3 linked regions of the Struthio camelus genome follow. The protein of the gene in region 2 interacts with the protein of the main gene of each other region in a biochemical or structural test. Links are inferred from orthologs where the notes say so. Each region holds a gene or a part of one and is shown on either strand. Other genes may lie near its edges. The genes, in order: STAT6, IRF4 and SPI1.

What was found.
Region 1: the proteins of IRF4 (region 2) and STAT6 form a complex in vitro, tested with the Homo sapiens proteins (2 studies listed by BioGRID). The link is inferred for Struthio camelus from reciprocal best matches to the Homo sapiens genes IRF4 and STAT6.
Region 3: the proteins of IRF4 (region 2) and SPI1 are reported together in a solved structure, tested with the Homo sapiens proteins (2 studies listed by BioGRID, with this or other methods). The link is inferred for Struthio camelus from reciprocal best matches to the Homo sapiens genes IRF4 and SPI1.

What each region holds. Positions count from the first base shown.
Region 1 is NC_090969.1:283,653-290,712, reverse strand, and holds the start of STAT6 (signal transducer and activator of transcription 6), read right to left. Parts: upstream 3,055-7,060; 5' UTR 2,453-3,054; intron 1,915-2,452; coding exon of another isoform or gene 1,839-1,914; exon of another isoform or gene 1,764-1,838; intron 1-1,763. Other genes in the region: LRP1 (prolow-density lipoprotein receptor-related protein 1), read left to right, coding at 1,839-1,914. UniProt on the Homo sapiens protein: Carries out a dual function: signal transduction and activation of transcription. Involved in IL4/interleukin-4- and IL3/interleukin-3-mediated signaling.
Region 2 is NC_090943.1:104,797,672-104,804,630, reverse strand, and holds the start of IRF4 (interferon regulatory factor 4), read right to left. Parts: upstream 3,090-6,959; 5' UTR 2,970-3,089; intron 1,356-2,969; 5' UTR 1,263-1,355; coding exon 1,059-1,262; intron 589-1,058; coding exon 402-588; intron 1-401. UniProt on the Homo sapiens protein: Transcriptional activator. Binds to the interferon-stimulated response element (ISRE) of the MHC class I promoter. Binds the immunoglobulin lambda light chain enhancer, together with PU.1.
Region 3 is NC_090946.1:39,184,431-39,192,319, reverse strand, and holds the start of SPI1 (transcription factor PU.1), read right to left. Parts: upstream 2,993-7,889; 5' UTR 2,613-2,992; coding exon 2,568-2,612; intron 1-2,567. UniProt on the Homo sapiens protein: Pioneer transcription factor, which controls hematopoietic cell fate by decompacting stem cell heterochromatin and allowing other transcription factors to enter otherwise inaccessible genomic sites.

The sequences.
Region 1 (7,060 bases), on a different chromosome or scaffold from region 2:
CCTCCCGAACATCTGGCAGGCGGCCGCGAGGCAGCCGGGCGCTCTGCCCTGGGGCCGACCCCCCCGCGCCCTGGCAGCCCTGCCGCCTGGCCGGGACGGGGTGGGGGGGACGGCGTGTGATGTCACTCGGGGAAGGGGGCGCAGGCAGGTCCCGGCCCAGGGGCCCGGCGCCGTGCGGCTGCAGCGCTGCGGCTGCCCCGCGCGCCCCACTGTCCCCGCGCTGCCGCACGGCCGGGTGACGCGGCAGCTGCACGATGGCCCGGGGCCCGCTGCGATGGCAGAGCCGCCGGCGCGCTCCTGGGACGGGCTCCCCAGCCGTGGTGCTCGCCCGGAGGTGGGGACCCCCCGGCCTGCAGCTGCCCCCTCCGCCAGCCGGCTCCCCGGGGCCCTTCCCAGCGCTGCAGCCGTCGGCAGCGCGGCCCCGGCTCGCCCCGGCCGGCGCCGCAGCTTGCGGCGACGGAGGGTCACGTTCCCTGCAGGGGAAGGGGTCTCTGGGGAGAGCCGCCTCCGGCCGTGCCAAGGGGTGAGCGCCCCCCATGCTGCTCCCCCCGACCGGCGGCAGCCCCAAACCCGGGGATCGCAGCTCGGAGGGAGCAGGGTGCCCTGGCCGGGTGCCCTGGCCCCGCGCGTTCCCCCGGGGCACCTCCTGCCTGCGGGGGGACAGGGGCTTGCGGCATGCTTGCCCCAGCCCCCTGCCCCTATCCCCATCCCTGCCCTATGCCCATCGCACATTCCCATCCCCTATCCCCATCCCTATTCCCTGCCCCATCCCCATCCCATTTCCCCTCCCCATTCCCTGTCCCCATCCCTGCCCCATCCCCTTTCCCCATTCCCATCCCCATCCTCATTCTCATTCCCATCCGTGCCCCTGCTCCTACCCCCATTCCCCATCCCCCATCCCCGTTCCCATTGCATCCCCACCCCCATTCCCCACCCCCATTCCCATTCCCCATCCCCTCACCCCATTCCTTTCCCCTATCCCCATCCCCATTGCTATTCCCATTTGCATCCTTATCCCCTCACCCCATCCCCTCACCCCATTCCCCATCCCCTATCCCCATTCCCCATCCCCATCCTCTCGCCCCATCTCCATCCCCCATCCCCATCCTTTCACCCCATTCCCCATCCCCTATCCCCATCCTCTATCCCCATCCTCACCCCTTGCCCCGTTCCTATTCCCATCCCCATCCCCTATCCCCACCCATCCCCTCACCCCATTCCTATCCCCTATCCCCATCCCCATCCCTATTCCCATTTGCATCCTTATCCCCTCACCCCATCCCCTCACCCCATTCTCCATCCTCTATCCCCATTCCCATCCCCTATCCCCATCCTCATCTCCTCACCCCATTCCTATCCCCATCCCCTATCCCCATTCCCATTCCCCTCGCCCCATCTCCACCCCCATCCCCATCCTCAGCCCCTCCCGCGGGCTAGCGGGAGGGGGGGCCCCGCAGCCCCCGCACCGCACGCGCATGCGCACCGCGCGGGCGCCGCGCACGACCCCCCCCCACCCCGTCGGCGCGCGACGCCCCCCGCCCCCCGCGCGGCGGCCCGGGCCCGGTGACGTCAGCGGGCGGCGGCGCGCTCCATCCCGCGGCGGCGGCGCGCGCAGCCCCCCGCCCCCGCGGCCGCCCCGTCCCGTCCCGAGGGCGCCGCCGCCGCCGCCGCCGCCCAGGGCCGCGAGGCGGAGGGGCCTCGCTCGCCGCCCGCCCCGGCCCGGCCCGGCCCTCCGCTCCCTCCCCTCCCCGCCCTCCGCGGATGTCGGTGCGCGGGCCCGGGACGCGCCGCCCCGCGGGCACCACGGCGTGAGGAGCCGCCGCCGCCGCACCGCCGGCATGGGGCCGCCGCTGCCCCTCGCCGCCTGCCTGCTGCTGGCCCTGCTCGCCGCGCCCGCCGCCCGCGCCCTCGACGGTGAGTCCGCGCCCCGCCGGGCCGCCCGGCGCGGGGCTCGCCGCGCCCGTCGGGGCTGCCGCGGGGGGGGGCCGGGCCGGGCGGCGGCGGCAGCGCTCGGGGCGGGGGGCGCCGAGCCGCCTCGTGCCCCCCCGCCGTGCGCGGAGCCCCGCGGGGTGGGGGGGGGCGCGGACGGGGACGAGCTCCTCCTCCCTCGGCGAACTTTTCCCAGATTTTCAGCAAATAAAGCAAAATCCTCCCCCCCCCCCAAATATATCCCTGGCAGATAATTTCCCGTTCCTCTCCATTAGCTGCAATAACGCTTCGTTCTCCTCCCCTGGAATCAAACGGTCCCTCCCCCCCCCCCGCCCCCGGTAGCCGAGCAGGAAAGTTGTGACTCGCCGTCGCGGCCGGCGCTGCCGCCGGGCCGAGAGGCCGCGCGGACCCGGCGCCCCCGGCCGCCTCTTGCATAACGCGGCGCTGCGCGAAAGCGGCTCTGCCGGGCGCGGGGCCGGGGCCGGGGCCGGGGCCGCGCCGGTGGCACCCGCGAAGTGTTTACCGAGCGGCCGGACAGCCCGGCCGAGCTGCTTTTCCCTGCGCCGCGCACGTCCAGGCCCTGCTCTTATTGATCTATTCAGTAAATAGTTTTGCGAGCTCGTCAGCTCGGTGGCTGGTGCCTTTGCGCGCGCGAGGGGCCGTCGCTGGCAGCGCGAGCGCGCCGAGGAGCTGGCAGCGCAACAAATGCAGCTAGCGGTGAAGGAGTTCCTCGCGGCGTTTGAATGCGTGGGGCAGAAGGTTGCTTTTTCCCTTCAAAAGCACAGAAACGGGGGCTGTTCCCGGGCTCGCTTGCGACGTTTCCCTTCTATGGGTCCCCGCTGTGCAGAAGCGCCTGATGAAGGCAGGCGGGTCTGGAGCGGTTGATTGGTGAGGGGATTTTTTGGGGAAGGCTCTTCTGTCCCTTCCGGTCCCCCGCTTGGAGGGAGCCGGGCGAAGCTGTGGTTATTTGGTGGTGCGGCAGAGGCAGGAGCAGCGCCGGCCCGTGGCGAGGCCAGGCGGGCGAAGGCTCGATAACACCCCGGCCCCAAATTAACTCTCCTGCCCCCGATTAGCGGCCGGTGCTGCAGGAGGCTGCAGCCTCCGTTCCCGTCCCTCGCTCTGGGTGCTCGGTCCGAAGGGCGGAGGTGGCGGGAGGCGGCACGTGCAGCGCCGGCACCGAGGGCCCGGCGGGGTCCGGCTGCTCCCGCTGAGCTCGCCTGGCCCCCGCGTCCCCCAGACGCCTTCCCCTTCGCTGGGCTGCGGTTTGAAGCCGCTGAATTCGGGAGCTGGCGGGGGCGGGAGGGGCAGGCATCAGTCATCGCATAAGCGGTGTTGCCTGTGGAAACGGGCGACGGCGACGCGGAGCTCCTCTGCCCCGCTGCCCACCCGGCCGGGGAGCCACGGGAACCGGCGCGGGAAGCACCCCCTTCCTGCCGAGCGGCTGGCTGCGCGCCTCCCCGCGCGGGAGCATCTCCCCCTTGGGGTGTGCCCACCCCAGAAACCCTTCGCGTGGCCTGGCGGCAGGAGCGGGGTGCCGGGTGGGGTTCACCTGGGAGGTTGCAAAGGGGGTTCTGGGGAGCCCCGCTGCTTCCGGAGGGGCCGCTGCTGAATAAGGCACGGAGCTGGTCTCGGAGGCCGGGCGGCCCCGCGGCGTCCGCCGGAGCAGGGGTGCGCCGCGGGCAGGAGCGTGCCCGCCGCGGTGGGCCCTGCGGGGGGAATCGAGTCGCAGGGACGGCGCGGCGCGGACAGCCCGGGGCAGAGCTGGGGGTGGGCGCGGGGGTCCTGCCCTGCTCCGTGGAAAGGATGCTCCTTCCTTAGGCAGAGAGCGGTCCTGCGCCTGCCCCCCGAGCCTGCTCCCTTGGTGCACGGTGCTGGAAGCTGTTAATCCCTCTCTGGCTTTGGTGGTAGAAGAGATAGGAGACAAAGTCCAGCAGATGGGGTGGGTGGAAGAGCTTCTCCAGGGGGACAAAGGGCACTGGTCCACGGCTCCTGTCTCTGCAGGGCTCCTCTTCCCGCTTGCCGGGGCGTCAAACCTCCCTGGGCCCCGTTGCACAGTGAACCATGCTGGGGAGAGGCGGTGCGGGCAGGGGGGGATTGCTCCACTGCCGGTTTGGAAACCCTCATGTTTAGGGGCGGCAGGGGTGATCCAGCCTGTTGCTTTCCTCTCGCTGCCTTGGTGGCCTGGCCCATCTCATGTGTACGAGGGCAGTGCGTGTTGCACGTGCGTGTGCATGCATGCGCGCGCCCGCCCGCTTCCCCGAGTGCATCCGCACAGGGCCTGAGCCGAGCTGGGCTCAGCAGAGGTGGAGCGGCGGCGCAGCTTGGGGGCTGCTGGTGGAAGGAAGCAGGTGCTGCCGCCGGGGCCCCGGGTCGCGGGGGCAGGACGGGGAGGGTGCCCCGGCATCCTGCGCATGGCGAGACCCTCGCTCTGCAGTGGGCCTAGGGGGTGCACCTGGGAGCTCTCTGCTCTGCAGGAGGCTGTTCGCACTCTCCCAGCTCTTGGTGCTTCTGAAGAGTAAAACCACCCAAGTCTTTCCTTGTTCCTCAAAGGCCTTGGTGCCCAAAGCCTCCCCTTCCTGGAGGGGAACGGACTAGACTTTCACCTTAATTGGTTCCTCTTTGCCACCAGCCCGTACTTGATTTGCAGCTGCTGAGTGCTGGCTGGCTCTGCTTTTGGGAGCAGCAGTGGTTTGTCCCCTCACTACGGGAGCGGGGGCAGGCCTGGCTTTTCTACGTGCGGGGTCCAGAGCTGGAGGTGAGGGATGACGCTGCTTCCTGTTGGTGCTGGATGGAGATACGTGGAGGATTCACTGGGTGAGACCGGTTTTCTTCCCCCACTTTGAGCATGGGATTGCGTCATCGCGTGTCTCTGCAGCATCCGCTACAGCTGGGCCTGCAACCTCCGCAGGCACTGCTTGGACACGAAGGGTGACTGCTGGCTTGAAGGGGATGGAGGTGTTAAAGCACGGCAGCCCGTCGGGAACCACCAGCACCTGGCGCTCCAGCAGTGCGGAGTTGCGCTGCCAGGGTGGCCTGCCTGGCGTGCCTGCAGGTTGTGCCCAGTTTGCAGCCCTGCCTGCCAGACCCAGCTCCCTTCTTTGGCTGGGGATGGCACAAGAGGCGTTGGGTGTCTTGAGTGTTGTCAGGGGCAGGAGAGTAGGAGTGCTCTTGTGAGGGGCTATTTCAAGCTTGGACAGCTTTTGTATTTCTGGATCTTGCTGCCGGAGTAGGATGAGCCTTGCAGTCTTGCGTGATTGGCAAGGTGTGGATGTGTGGAGAAGCCAAACTGTCTAGATTTAGCTTTGCAAGAGTGACTCACTCCCCAGGAACCTGGCAGAGAGAGGGGTTGGGAAGAGAAACACAGATGCTTTTTCACTTAACGAGGAACATTAGTCTGATGGGGGAGTGTCTCAAGGGACCCGGATCTGGTTGTTAGGCTAGCTGCAGGGCAGGGATGGGGTGACTCCTCCTTCCCCGTCCCAGCAGTGTCTCAGCTGGCAGGGCACTTTCCAGGTAGGAGCAACCTCTCATCATGAGTGAGCATGTGAGATGGCCATCCTGCAGACCAGCAGCTGTGAATGCACCTAAGAGGTCCTAGGGACCTCTGCAGCTGGAGAGATTTGTCCCCAGCAGGTCGCTAGAGCCATCAACTCTTGCAGAGCTTCTGAAAAGGCAATGGCAGTTGTGTGCCACCTTGTCCCTGCAAACCTCCTGGGGCAGGAGGGAGAGGCAGTCTCTGGTCATAGAAACAAGAGGCTTAAAGCTGACGAGCAGAGACAAATTAAAGGGAAAAAAATGACATAAAAGAGCTCGACCTGAGGAACTCTCTGCTACGTGATGCTCTCAGGCTTGAATTCAAAAGCGTAGCCCTCTTGCGTTTCCCTGCGGGGGACTGGGTGACGAGACCAGCAGCTTCGAGGTGAGGTTGGCCACATAGGGCCAGGGTACGCAGAGGGGACCTTCCTGGGGCCCATCTTTGGAAAGCCCCTCTGAGGGGCTCCCAGGTTAGCTGCAAGCGCTGTTTTCCCGGAGGCAGGATCAGCTGCAACGTGGCTATGGAGAAACCGTGTCTCTGGGAAGCTGGAAGACTGAACAGCACCTAACCCGCTGGGGAAGCTCTGGGTCTTTCTCCCTCTGGTTAGATGGGGTCAGCGTTCTGCTGGCATCTCTGCTGGCTTGGGACGGGGTATGGTTTGACGTGAGAAGTGATGACCCTGTCCCATGCTCCTCTGCTCTGGGAGAGCTCCTGGTCCTGGTGGTCGAGCTGGCCTTTGCAGGATGGCGGTGGCCTTGGCGGGTCGTGGGGTGTCTAGCGCTGGCTCTACCTGGCCAATGGAGGGCTGCTAGAGGGCTGCTCTGCCAGAGGGCAGAGTTGTGCTTGTTTTACCTCTATCTCTGCATCGCTCCGAATAATAAAGCTCCCCCTTCTCTCCGTCCTGGTGCAGACCCCTCCTCCAAGGCCCCGAGGACGGAGAGCTTCTTGCTGGCGTTGGCGCTCCCGTTCCTCGCGGGCGGAGGTGGGCAGGGGAGGACGGAGCGTCCCGGCGGGGCGAGGAGGGAGAGCTCTGCGCCGTTTCGTAAGGCCGTCTGGAAGCGTTGCAGGGGGAGCGGGTAGGAGGTGAGAAGCGGCCTCGGTTTGGTTCTGGGCCTCCAAAACACCTCGGCCTTCACCGGCTGCCCCTGCTGCCTCCTGTCCCTGTCGCTCGCCTTAACTGCAGGGTCAGCAGCTTCCTCGTCTCGCTCCTGCCGCCGCCGAGGTCGGGGCTGGCTTTGCAGGGGGGATAACGTGCTGTGCTGGGGCTGGCCGCTCGCTGCCGGATCGCGGTGGAGCATTTGTGAAATCTCAGCTTTTGTGTGCGCGTGACCAGCACAGCGCTTCCGAGGTCGAGAGGCGCTTGCGAAAGTCCTTGGGGCCGGGCGGTGCTGCCCCCGGGCCAGGAGTCACCAGCCCGGGGCCCAGGGGCTACTGGACCCTCCTCTCCCCCACGTCTGCAGATGTCCTCCTGCTTCTGTGATCCGTCCATGGAGGCGGAAGCGTGGGGCTTTGGGTTGGGAAATGGAGTTTTCTCTCTTGCACGTGAGACCTGTGTCGGGGTTATGGCCGCTGGGAAGGTGAGGAGAGGTGTGAATC
Region 2 (6,959 bases):
TTATTCAAAACCCAGGTACAAAAAACAATTTTTTTTTGCTTGTCCCTTGAACTGCTTGCTTAACATGGGCCTCTCTCTACAGAGAACTGGAAGGCAGATGCCAGGTAAAAGAGCAATTCCTGCAGCAACGAACAAGAAGCACATCTCTGTCTTTTACAAAGGGCTCCCTTTCAGTGCTCTGACTCAAATGCCGACAGTCCTCCCACAGACAGAGCCTCTTATTTTAGTCATCAGAAGAAGATGTACTTGAGCCCTGCACTTCAGCTCCTTGTATTCACCGCAACACTAACACACTTAAAAAGACTGCATGGCCATTCCAGAAAAGCATACTTCAGTCCTCATATGCTTACAGTGAGACAGATATTCACACTCCATTACACAGGGAATCTGAGACATTTTACCTTTTTTAGCTCCTTCTGGCACTATTCTGTACACTTTATAGGGATCTGAGATGTCCAGCTGGCTTCTCTCCACCAGTTCTTCAAAGTCATTGCTCTTGTTCAAAGCACACCTTAATCTTGTCTTCCAGGTAGGGGGATCTGGTTTATCAATGCCCTCTCTGAACTTTCCTTTAAAAAGAGCCCAAGCCTGGAAACATTTCAGATAATCAAAAGAGCAAGGGGAAAAAAAAAAAAAAAAAAGAATCAAACTACAAGGTACAAGATCACAATGCCTGAAATAGCATATATGTGTGTGCTTATATGCGCATGAATTTACTCCCTGCAGGTTTAGGCTAAGAAAAAAGCAGCATTAGGAACACGGTAAGGAACATGGTAAGGAAAAACAGGTTTGGAGGCACAAGAAAAGGGAAAAAATGATCCAGAGTCAATATGGAAACAGATGTGCAGCAGTCCCACGAGCATTTAGCTCCACATGAGGGAATGGGGAAAGGAAGGGCAGTCTCACGCTGCAAACCTAGACCGGGGCGAGGGGCGCTGGGGGCAGCGAGTCCCTGAGTGGAGTGAGCCTGCCGGCATGGAAGAGACGGGACGGCGAGGAGCCACGACGGTGGCCCAGCCGCTACACCCCTGCAGCCCCGACGCTGGGCTGAGCCCTACCTTGAAGAGGGCAGCATCCTCCTCACGGTTGTAGTCCTGCTTGCCAGCGTGCTTCCAGGGGATGCGGAAGATGCTCTTCTCGTCATTTTCCCACACCAGCCCCGGGTACTTGCCGCTGTCAATCTGGTCGATCAACCACTGGCGGAGTTTCCCGTTGCCGCAGCTCACTGAGTTCATCCCGCACTCGCCCGGCTCCAAGTTCATGCCACTCGCGTTGGGGGTCGGGATGGGGGGTTTTGGGGTGCTTCACTTGAGCCCGCTTCTCTGCAACGTGCCCACGCACTGGCTCTCTGGGGGCTGCAGGGGAGGGGGGAAGAGGGGTAGGATGCAGAGAGAGGAAAACCCACAGTTCAGGCGCCGGTCAGAGACCCCACACGGAGCCCTGCCAGCGGTGCTGGTGCTCAGTGCTGCATGCACCGCGCTAAGCGGGGCTGCGGCACGCAGGGGGCCCGGGAAGCACAGTAGCGCTGCAGCGCAGAGCCCCGGGAGGCTGCGCACGGCCCCTCACATCCCTCCCCAGGCACCGCTCAGGCTGCAGACTTTGACAGACTTTCCTCCCCCTCTCGACACTGTTTTGCATGAACACAAGCCAGTTGTTGAAATTTTCATCACAGAGTGACTAAAGACACAACCCCCCTGACCTGCTCTGAGTTCAGCCGGGATTTTATTCTTCTAACCAAAAAGATAAAAAAATTGTATTTAAATATAGTTCCACATGACAGTGCACATATGCACTAGCAGATACATGCACACAGTTTAGACAGCCTCAGACACATTTATGATTTATATGGTACCTAACTATAATGTTGAAGCAGCTTTTTCAAGCTCATTTAAGCAAGACACATTCGAACACATGATGTCCTATACATATCTACGTCTCCGACTGCTCCCAACACACATGTATAATAACATTCAAATCTATATATTGCAAATACCTAAAAGTGGAAATACACCAACCTATGGAGCCTGCCACAAGAACACTTTGCCCAGAGGCGGGCCAGTTTGCAGCCAGCTACACCCAGAGCCCTTGCTAAGCGCAGAGGTGTGCGCACTCGCCCGGAGCGGCGAGGCTCCACAGAGTGATGGGCGCCCACTGGAAAGGTCCTAACATGAGCAAACCAACACCAGTGATGGTAGACCTGGAGTAAAGTTTGTCCTCCCGACCTGAGAAAGTGCTTGTACGCCCAAAAGCTGCGGGGGAGGGAGGGGTAGGGGGTCCAACTATATCTAATAAAAAAGTGAGTCCTCACCCACAGTCCTTGCCTCCACACTCAGGGAGACTGTCAGAGCCCCTGGTTAGCCGTGAGCACGCTGGTGCGGGCAGCTCCGCACCCCTCACTCCCCTCCTCAGGGCGCAGCTCCCACCACCGCAGCCAACCTGGTCGCCGAGTTTCTCCCCAGGGCAAGACGTGCCCGGGGGGGGGGGGGGGCGGCTCCCCCAAGCCCGTGCCAGGCCCCCACCACATCCTCACCCCCGGCATGCACACCCTGAAACGGTCCCCCGTCCCCGTCCGGGGAGCTGTGACAAGCTTTCCGCGACCCTCTGCAGCGCAGGGACGGCGCGGCCCCTCGGGGCGCCGGGGAGGGGAGGGGGGGCCGGCCGGGGCGCCGCTTCACCCCGCCGCTGCCCCGGCGAGGGGCAAACGAGGCGGGGGATTTTAATTATTTTTTGTAATTAGCCAAAAAAAAGGAAAAAAGAAAAAAAAAAATCACCATCTCCAGGAAAAGACCACCGCGAGGGGAAGCGAGGTGACCACCCCCCCCCCTCCCCAAGCCCCTCTCTCCCCCGGCCCCAGCCCGCCGGGCCCCGCCGCGGGGCTGCCCTCGAGGAGGGGGGGTGGGGGGGCGGCGCGGTGGGGCGCGGAGCGGGGCGCCCCGGCGGGGCCGGCGGCAGCCAAAGCCGCCGCTTACCTGTGTCGCGGCGCTCGGAGCGGGCTGGGGCCGCCGGCTCCCGGGCGGGCAGCGGACACGGGCGCACCTCGACTGGGCCGCCGGGCACGGGGGAAGTTTCTTTATATGATGGAGGGCTGCGGGCCCGGGCGGGGAGGGGGGTGGAGGGGGGGTGGGAGGCGGGACCCGGCTCGGAGGTGGAGCCGGCGGAGGGGAGCGGGGACTTTGCGAGCTGGAAAACATCTGAGGCAGTGACACATGCCCATTGCTGGTAAACACGCCGTGGGGGGGGGGGGGGGGGCTCGGAGCCCGGCGCCCTCGGTGCATCCGCGCTTTTTTTTTTAAATATATACAAATATATATATATATATATATATACACACACAGACACACAGGTATATAAATAGCATGGGGAAACTCCTACCTATGGTAGCCAGACGGCTTTTACTGTAAAATACTCAGCCAGCTACACCCACCACAAACGCACTAGACGGCGCCGGCCGGGCCCCCGGGTAGCACCCACCCGTCCCGCGAGTGGGGCCGCCCGGCCCCGACCCCCCCCACCCCGCTTCCCCGCCCCGGGGGCGCCTCCGGCCGCCAAAGCCGCCTTTTCCCGCTCCGCCGGACGGCCAGCCCCGACGGCATCCGAGCCGGGCTGACGGACTCCCCCGGCGAGCCTACCCCGTGGTCTGCAGCCCCCAAAAATGTCACGAACCCACCGGGCCCCATCCGGCAGCGAGCCCGGCCCGTCGCCAGCCCCGGCCGCCCTGGGGGCCGGCGGCGACCCCGCCCGGGGGCAGAGGCGCCTCTCCGCTGGGAAAGCCCGTGTTAAACATCAGCGCATCAACTTGGACGTGGGGCACCCGGCACAAGGGAGCGCTGGGGGCGTTAATAACTTGCTTTCTTGGCAGAGTCTCCTGTGCTAACGAAGCGGGAGCTGGCGGGGGAGGGGGGGGAGAGGAAGAGCAAGGTGCGGACTTGCGTGAAAATCTTCCTTGCCGCCTTTCAGGTTTCAAACACGTGTTTCATGCCACGACACTTTCTTGTTGTTGTTCTGTTTTAACGTTTCCAACACACATCCACATCCTTTCTGCGCTAACGTATCAGATCAAAAACCAGTCATCGCGCACTGTTCTGGCAGGCCGCCGGTGCGGAGGGTACATGCAGAGTTTAGAATATTAATTGCAAATCTTCAACGCCATCTTCTGAAATTTAGATGTAATTATCACCACATTTTGAGGGGGAAGTGAGAGGTACAGGCATTTTTAGATATTTAGTTTGTAACACACGCTATCGTCTAGAAAAAGAGTTGGCAGTGCCTGTCGGATTTTTTTTCAGTCACTAGTTAAAGTACCTTTAACATTAAAACACGTCTTGGACATTGGAGGTGACTGCCATCATAAATCAAGACAGGAGCAACCATAGCTTTAGCCATAGGCATCAGAAACGTTTTCCAGAAATTCAAGGTATGATTCCTAGAAGCCAGAATGGGTGGTACGCAGGGCTCCAACTGCAATTTCTTTAAGTATAAAAATGTATCCAGAAGTATTACCATAAAAAGAACACATCTAATGCCTTCTCTCTTTTGCAAATTTTAAGACAGGGAATTCTGTACCAGTGTGAAACATGCAGATTTGATCTACACTAGAGCACATCCTTCAGGATAAAATTAACAGCTTTCTCAAATTCTGGAGAATATTTTGAAAAAATAATTCCACTTGTCCAATGAATTCCACATACCGTTAGAGAGGTAAATAAGTTATAAATTCAGAAATCTTTAAGGGAAGACAAAGTCAGTCAGAATCCTTAAAAAAAAAAGACAATACATGTACGGGGAGTTATCTAGTTGACTGGTTTGTTGCTGTCTCTGTGCAAAAAGAACTCAATAGAAAACTATTTCCAGTTGCCTAAATTTTTAGAGTGGATGCTTAAAGCTAGACTCCTGCATGCATAATAAGTTTTACAAATAAGTCTTTTCATGAGTAAGACAGGCTAAGTCTCATTAGCTTTACCGGTTTCATTACTCAGGGTTTCTGGCACCAGCCATGTCCATTTAGATGGTGAAAAAAATTAGGACCATCATTTTCAGTGTGCAAAGTAGAAAACTGATCAGTAACGCAACTGTGTTATCTGCATTAAATGTTGCAGTATTGCACTGGTAAACTTTCACAGTGTGCTTTTTGCATACGGTAAGAACCTATTACTCCCTAAATGGTCCAGCTCATAATCTGAACGCTTACGGCACTTCACAATCTGTTCTTCTTTTCTAGCAATTTCCACACTGTTGTAAGTGCCTAACCCAACCTGTCAAACCTTACCCAAAAGCCCCATTTGTCTTCATGGAAGTTTTCTGTGTTAATACCTGAATTTAAGTCCCCTTGTGAAAACACTCTTGCTGCTGCTTAACCACTGCATTCACCACTAGGCCCTCTGTTTTTCACACTCTTAAGGTCACACTGACTAAAGGCATGCCAGGAAAAATGACTGTTTCTTCTCAACAGCCGCTCACAAACGTTCAAGGCAGAGAAAGCTGGGTTCTGCTTTCACCAAAAACCTCTGAAGTTCCAGCTGACTCGCATGGGAATTGCACCCAAGGCAGAAAAACAACAAAGACGAAAGCTCAGACTAGCTACTGGGAGCTGTGTGAAGGCACGTGTATTAGCCAGTCTTGCACTCGGGAGTTTATTCCTCGCAGTTAAAAAAAAATCCTTCTGAAAGACTGCCCTACACTTTCGCTGGGTGCGGGAGCAGAGCTACCCACTATAACAGTGGAGCTTGCCTACATCCCAGAAGAGGTGCAGGGCAAAAACAGTTCTGAAGGCAGAGAAGCTGATGGAAACATGCCAGAGGCAAGGTGCGGCATAACAGAGGCCCTCCGAGGGCTGCCGCTCACTCAGGGCTCCCCGCCATGCTGGAGGCCATGAAATCCCCTCAGCACCCGTGCAGGGGGAGTTCCTCGCGCAGAAGAGGAACCTGTCCAGGGCGACCGCGGGGCGGGAGCGGAGCTCACCTGCTCGCTGTTCCCATCTTTGCTAAGTCGGCTTCACCGGTTGTGCAGGACATCCACCCGCAGCTCTGGCAGGAAGGTGCATGGTACAGCAGGTCCTGGAGACAGGTAAAGGTCGAGCCTGCCTTGCACTAGGTGCAGTCCAAGCAGCAAGCGGAGCACTGCGTGCCTGCAGAGCTCGCAGCCACAGCAAACCCACAGGTCACAAGGCAAGCGAGCGTCTGCATCAGCAGTCAGGCTCTAGCCTTAGGTGAAGACAACAGGCACCTGACCATGGCTTTCAGCCCAAAAGGTCAAACTTCTTTTTTCCCCACGTGGATGCTCAAGTCCCTGAACATACTCTGACCAACCTGGTACAACTTTCCCTTTGCCCCTGGAAGCAGAAGGAGACACAAACCTCTCCCCTGCTTTATTGCCCAGCAGCCAGTTCACCAAACTGGGAACAAAATGCAGCTGTGCAGAGACTGGGTATCAGGGGCCTGCAGGAGCCTGGCGAAGGTTGTTCTGAAACCCTTGACAAATGACTTGGGCAAAATGCATTTTCGGAAGTGAATTAAGCTGCTAACGATGGTTTTGAAAAGCTCATAGCTGCCTGTCTGCATCTTCAAGTATTCCCAAACCTCCTTCCTGAGATGGAGATCTCTGAAGGGCTTAGTAATTTGTTACCGGCACCAATTTCCATTGGGTGCCTTCTTCCCTTAGAAATCCTCCAAAATCCCTGATCATCAATCTGTGAGATGATGCCTTCAACTGCCCAAAGCAGCAGCAAACCTCAGACCTAAAGTAACAGCACTATTAAAGTTGCACAACCCCATGCTCAAAGTCGCAAATCTGGGACGCAGGGCTGAGGAAACAAATCACTAAACAGCCAGCCTTACGCTGCAGAAAGACCTCCATGGCTGGTATCAATAGAATTCAGAGGTACACTGGAAATCTGGGGACAGACTACTGATTACTTTGGTTTACACCAGAAAAGCACATGCTGTTTAACCAGGTCCGACGCT
Region 3 (7,889 bases), on a different chromosome or scaffold from region 2:
GGGTAGAGCATAGCTGGCATTGGTTGAGAGAGATACAGAGGATTCAACTGAATAACAACTTGAAAATTCCTATTGTTCACTTAAACTTTGTCAGATGATTCCAGGTGATTACAAATGCATTGAATTCTGATCTTTTTTTGTTATCCTGACATAACTATTCGTTGGCATGTGATTCAGAAATACTCCACACAGTTTCCAATGATGTGCTGCTGAGACAAGTTTGAAGGCCAAGATTAACCTATTTCCTTGGAAAAATTTACAGTATAACTATTTTAGAAAAGATGAGTATAAATATTAACATGAGCACTCATTGGGCCAGCCTCACAGGACCACCTTGGAGGTGCACTTATGTGAAACAGAATGCTTATAAGGTACATTTTCGCTCTCATACAAATATATCTCCATTCCAAGCTGAGTACTACAGGTGGCTACTTAGGGATTCACAGGTAACCTGGGGGCCTCTTTAGAGGAAGGTGTTTGCTTTATTAGTTTTCTGCCCAGTAGCACAACTGATACAAGATTCTATTATGTATTAAAAGACATGGGCTCAGTTTGCAGGACTTTTCCATATAAAGTTCTTAATCTTCAAAGAAAGATGCAATAACTCTTAAACCATTTGAGTGGCACTTTTCAAACGAAGGTTAAGAGTCTTCTAGCATAGTCAAGAGGAAGGCAGTTACCAATCCACCCTCAACTGAAAGGGGAGGGGCAGAGGAGGGAAGTAGTGCTTCACAGAAACCCTGTGTCTAGAAACGGGCTAATGTCGCCCCTCTGAAGAAAGTCCCAGGAGGCACAGACTTTTATAATGATGCCATGTGGGGCTGTAACTGTCAGTACTCAGATCAAGTACATTTAAAACAATTTTGGAAGTACAAAACACAAAGCTTTCATTTTTGAACATATTAATCACAAAAAAAACCCAAAACAAATTGCCCTGTCAAGCATTCCTATAAGATGTGATTTCATTTTCACTGCCTGTTACCTCATTCACCTGAGCAGAGTTCAGCCAGAATACTTTTCTACAACAAAAATTAGAATATGAGCCAGACTGTGTTGGATTTTCACTCCATTTATTCAATCTATGCGCTGAACTTCAAGAGTGAAGAAATGGGACACAGAGGGTGGCTATGAGGAAATGAGTAGACAGAAAATGAACATTATTAGTAAAAATAATGGGAGATGCTAGTGGAGGACAAGATTTTTTCTTGTTTTTTTAAGCCCAACAAATAACATATTCAGAAATCTTTATGTAATGTTTTCATTTTCTCAGTTTCTTTTCAAATTCTTATCCTGACATATTTACAGTAGATCCACTGGGTAACTTGAGTATTTAAGAAAACAAAAGAAGTTTCTTAGGGTCTTCTCACCCTGCGGGTGAATAAAGGATTTCGTGGCCATGAGCTGATGAACTGCTAGAGTAATGGATTTCACGCAAATAAGTATTTTTTTATTCAATGTGGATACAAAACATGAAAGGAATTCAAAGGGCCATCTTTCTGTATAGAAAATAAAGAAACGTGCCTTTAGCTTTCATTAGATGGGACAAGACAAAAAGAAAGCATGATACAAATTTGATTAGAGTACTCTTGGAGTTGCACTGTCTCTTACTCTCTTTTCCGAACACACATAGCAAATACCATATGTCATCTACCACGTAAAAGGCCAAGTAAAACACCTTCTCTGACCATCTTTTCAGCTACTACGGAATTAGCAAATCTTGTTAGGGCCTATTTTACCCGTTCTATCTTGAGATGTCCCATTACAGTTTGTTTCTGAACAGCTGGTTAGTGAGATTATATACTTCACAAATAATAATCCCCAAACTGACCACAATGTAAAAGTGTAAAAATGCTGCAGAGCTAAAGAAAGAACAGAAACACTGTATAAACATACAGAAAAATTTGTAACTAGGAGAAAATATCGAAAGACCCAATTAAGGGCCATTTTATTTTTGCTCTCGCCACTTCACTACTTGCCTGAAATAGGAAAGTTTTCAAGTGCATCCATATATGTTCAAAATGATTCAGGGTTATTTCCTGGCTTATATTTTAAATAAAAGTCACAAAATATGCAATGTAAAATATGAGCAAGAGAAGCTAGAGACTAGAATTCTATCATTACAAAGAGCACAAAGACCTGAAGTCTGCAAAATGTAAAAGCAGCATTCGGCAACTCTTCTCTCATAGATTGGTAGATATTTAATACATAAACTATGTCAGAGTCTCAAAACTAATTAATAATTACAACCTGAAGCAAGACTTGGCCTTATACTGCAAAGGCAATAAGGAAGAAAAAATTTTACTGGCTTGCTATACGTATACCCTACAAAAATACCATGAGTTTAATCTTTGAAAATAACTGGAGATCAAAATCAGATACAAGTTTAGGGAGGAAATGTTAATTCCCCATTCATTGCAACGTTGTCACTAGCTTTATATATTGCCAACTTCCTTGCTGTACAAATACAGACCAAAAGAGAGACATTCTCAAATAATAAAACCTAGTTTACTTTGTCTTTTGCTACTGAGCCCAATCATCCATATTAGGAATAAACCCCATATACTCACAGGGGGAATGAGGGGAAATCCTTCCATTTTGCAAGCTTGCAACATTCAGCCAACTTCTGAGTGAATTTTTCTTAATTCAGTTTTCAAACATCCAGAATAACTGACTTAAAAAATCACATGAAACAAACAAAAAAACACAACGAAAGTGAGATCCTTGGACTCTCTGAAGTCCCCTTGCAGTAATGGATCTCAGGATTGGAGAAAGACCCTAACAAGTTTTCATAGTTTGCCCTAATAGGCTCTGAGGTGAACTTCTTCCCGAGTTGTATCTGAAGTTCCTGATTTTATCAAATGTCTGTAGAAGGGAGATAGCCCTTGGGTCTATCAGTGCGCTGTGACATCACAGCTTTTAGCCGGTTTGCATAAATCTCATTTCAAGGAGCTGCGGCACTGTAACAGGAAGTCTGCCCTTAGCCAGATCTGCCATGGGCAGGTGCTTACTTATAATCAGCAACCCAGAGCCCAGGCCTACTACCAATAAGCAAGCATACGGGTACAGTGTTCTTACTGACTGTGGAAGACTATGTGCTTCCCACTGGAGATGAACCATAATGATGTCGCTGCTCTCGGGTTTAGTGATGTAGCATAGAGCTACAGTCCTGACAACTGCTGTGAGAATAATGCAGTGGCACAGACTTGCTTTAATGATAGTCTTATGCTGGAATGAAGTGGCAGAAGGGGAAATAATTAGCAGAAGGGGAAAAAAGAGTATACAGTCTCAACTATCATAGTCTTTGGTTTCTACAGAAAATTAAAGCTATGCCAGTGCGACTTTCTTTACAAACTTGTTTATAAAGTGAAATAGTTCAGTGAAAGTCACTGAGTCCTCTTATTTGCTTTTTATGATTTCTTTTCTAGGTCCTGCAAGGAGAAAGCAAGTGGGCAACAAGTCCTATGTCATGGCCTCTACTTATCCCAGAAGAGTGCCTTTAACAGTGAGTAGAGAACAGAGCTGTAGAAGTGTATCTGAAAAGTCAGATACTGAAATTTCTCTTTCTTCTGCTCTTCTTCTTATGTGGTGTTTTCCCATCTCTTTATCCTCCTGTTTTGCTTGCATTTGGCTGCACTGAACATGTGCCTTTCTTACGAATGGTTCTGGCAGAGGCATGAGTGAGTGGGCCACAGTGCAGGATTGAGGGGCTGGGCCCTTGCAACAAGGGAAGAACTCTCTCACTCTGCAAAATGCTTTCTTGCTTTGCAGTTAGTTACTAATATTTTGGAAAAGTGAAGTTTCTTTGTCTGGGTTGTTCCCCTTCAATCTATGCCCATGTGCCACAGGTTCTGCTTTTGAAAGTAGCCTGCTCACCACTCACCTGGGTCTATGTCTGAGGGGGAATTTCAGCCACTGCAAACTTCCTCCCTCATACACTGGTAAAACCAGAGGCCACTCACAAGTTCCTCTCATTCCCCACCCTAAGGAACCCTACAAGCAAACCGTATTAGCAATGGGATAAGATTGAGAACATGATGGGAGATTAACTCTTGAAGCCCCAGACTGAATTTCATCAGCATTAGTTGATCCATATGCATTTCAGTCCTATTTTACTGATACCAAAAATCTTCACGTTAACCTAGAAATGAATAAACTGCTAAACAGTCCAGTTTTGTCTCTGAGGTAATTCTCAAGTCTCTCTTTCGATGCCAGCCTAGCAGATACCAGGTTTACCTGGCGGAACAGGAGAGAAGCAAAATAAAGTATTGATGATAAAAATCAATAAAAACAGAGCAGAAAGGAATGAACAGTAACATAAATAAATCTTAAAATGGATAATTGGATAATAGATGATAAAAGTCATTGTGGCAATTGTACGTATATTAAAAATGCTATTCTGAACAGAGAAGACATCTGACTCTTAATACACTGAAATCTACCTTAAACAGCTACTGGAAGGCATAAAAATGTAGTGTGTTCCAGAGAGGGTCTTTTATTAAAGTGTAACATAACTATATTTAATACACTGGAGGATATTTCAATGCTGTCTCTTAGCACAGGAAATTACCTAATAAGGATACATACTTTGCACCAGCTTTACTGTACTTAGGGACCAACATTAATGACCAGGAGTAATCATAAACATACCAAGGTTATCAACATAAATAATCAAATTGATTCTCTATGTAATGAATTAGAAGAAAATAAGACATCATAAAGCTTGAGGAACAGCAGGAAGTCCAGAAGTTGAATTAGTTTCCTAGGAAGGAGAGTATCTCCATAAATGGAAATGCTAATAGTTAAATAAAATGCTTGTTTACAGTACTGTATCTGTATAGGAACATTACTAGTAACAATCTTGCTAAAATTCAACCTAGATTTAACTGGGTTTTTATCCCCTGTTTGTCATCATAGAATTTTCTCACCCTTAAAAGAATGCCTACTTTTGGCCCAGGTCCTTGCAGTGCTTTATTTGATGACTTACACATAGAACAACAACATATGAAATTACCAAATTAGTAGAGAGGTGCTTATCAGATACAGCTTTAATACATTCTTGAACTACAGAATCTAAAAGAATAGTTTCACTGTTGTCTATCAAAATGCCCATCAAAAATATCTGAGTGCATATAAATAATTACCAGACTTTTTATATATGTCTTTTTTAGCCTATCTCAAGTCATTTTTATCACTTTTTTTTTCCCCTCTCTTTATAACTTATGTCTGAAATTCCAGGGTCTCTGTTAATAATCTCTGTTATTTACCCAATACCTAGCAGTTCACAAACCAATCCAGTTCCTATCCTGAGATGCTGTAAGGTTTTACTTTAAAAATAATATTTTTTTAAAAATGGAAAAAACTCAAACATGTTAATGAAGGAGAGTGTTTATGCAAATACATTCATCACTTACTGTAGTGAGATGCTTCCAGATTTGTTTGTTGTAATTCTAAATGCTTACCTTTATTCTAAAACATTTTGGTATGTCTTCAGTGCGGGGGCAGATTAGAGAGGCAGATATTGATTTAATTAATTACAACAGGCGGAATAAAGTTGCCTGGAAAATAGTATCAGTGATGCTGATTCAGGCAATAAGAAGGTCTGGCAAAAAGCATAAAGGTATTTACTGGTGATGAATGCTGGCAGAGCAAGTAGAGGAAGAAATAAATGAGATGCAGGGATGAGAACTATGTAGAGCCTTGAGGATGAGGACCAGTAGTCTGAACTTGATGCCAAAGCAGAATGGGAGCCAGCAGAAATTCTCGGAAGGGAAGGTGGCAGAAGAAGATGAGTTTAACAATATTGTTTGGAATAAACAGGAGGAAAAAGTAATTCGACCCAAGATACATGAATTTCTAAGCTATACTCTGTATGATGTTGGTGCTCCTCACAGAGTGTAATCTGACCTTTAAAAAGGCTTTTAAAGTAGGCTAGGGATCCTTTTCCATGATGGGAATTTGGGGGACTGGAGAAAAACCTGCTCAGCTGAAAGATTAAATTTCTGAAAACATTTAACTTTCATAGGACGAGAGGCAACAGCCACAAACTGAAACACAGGAAGTTCCATCTGAATATGAGGAAAAATTTCTTTACTGTGAGGGTAACTGAGTGCTGGAACAGGCTGCTTAGAGAGGTTGTGGAGTCTCCTTCCCTGGAGATATTCAAAAGCTGTCTGGACACAATCCTGGGTAATATGTTCTAGGCGATCCTGCTTGAGTAGAGAGGTTGGACTACATGATCTCCAGAGGTCCCTTCCAACCTCAACCATTCTGTGATTCTGTGATTTTAATCTGAGTTATTCTCCCCCTAAACATCACCTCACTGTGTGCCTCAGATACTTCTGAAGGCAGTTTTTCCCCTACCTCTACCCATTTATTCTTCAAACTATTTCTAACCACAAGCTACCAAAGCAAAAGGTTTTCAACTCACAGCCACATCACAAAGAGGTCCCTTTACCTCAAACCTTGTTTGGTGCTCACAAGGTACTTTTTCTCCCTACTGAAACCACATAAAACATCACTCATCCTGAAGCCTCTTAATCAGAAACAGGTGTTTACACAGACTCTGCTACTGAGTTTGCTTGTAACAGGAAGATCAGACCTCTAAACAAGAGATCCCCTTATATCTTGCATATTCTTCCCAGAACTGTTACTGTTGAACTTGTTTTACCCAGAGATCGCATGGCTTGTGGGTCTTACGTGTCATCCTTCAACCTTAACATCCACTCAGATGCCATGTGGGGTTTGCGCTCTTCTCTTAAGAGCCTATGGATCTCTCTCACTGTGGAATCTGTGGAGTCAGGGGCAGTCTTCTGCATTTAACTTTGTTACATATACGACTACTGAGTTGGAAGATATGAGTTGAAATATCTTTGTTGCATATTTCCATAGTGAGAGAGTAGGAACTAGAAAGGAGCTGCTGCAAGCTACCAGCTGATAAGAATTTATTACAAATTGTTCTCATGTGGAGCTTTACTTTGGGATCTTTAACAGTCTGAATGTAGTCTCCACTTTAATATATACTCCCCTTTTCCATGTGACAGGTTATCACTCACTGATGTTTCTTTGTGAGACCTACAGGTTTTTAACTGTGACTACACTTGAACAAAGACTTTTTCTGGATATATGGGATCCCCTCTTAAGGTTGATGCAGTTTGTAGCAGCTAAAAAGTGCTTTTGACAGTCCACTTTGTGTGGTTCCCAAGTTTTATGCAACTGCATCTGTACAAGAACTTTAACTAGTGGGAAATGTCATAAAAATGTCATTAAAATATCTCAGTCTTACCTAATTTTACTGTATTGGCAAAGATTTCAAGTGTAGACTGGACTAAATCTATATCAGAATGAAGATTCATATTTTCTTTGGAAGGAAGAGGAATAACTTGGGACAGTACTAATTCAGAAAGCTTCATGGATTTTTTAGGAACCACATTATCAAAACCAGTCTCTTGCAGTAATGAAAAACACTTCATTTATCATTTTATTACTAAGTTTTAAACTGTTTGTAGAGCAGAATTAAGCAAGGAAGAAAATCTCCGTTTGGGCAATTCATACTGCTTCAAGATCTGCTTGTATAACAGCTATATTTGATTATTTTGCTGTATTTGGGAAGAGTTGTTTTGGCTTTAAGGCATGTCCAAATAGCTGTATGATTTGGTGTCAGTTTTTAGTGGTCTTCTGCATTCTGCAGACAATGTAGAAGAATGCTCTTATGCCATCTACTCTTGAAATCTACATCCCAGTCAGTAGCGTCACTAAGATGCAAGCAGTAGTATCTAACAGCGCTTCACATAGTTGTACCTTGAACCTACAGTCTAGTCTCTCATTTCTATTTAAATTCATCTGTCAATTAACTTGAAGTTCTTCCCCAAAGTCAGATGCTTTAATAGTCA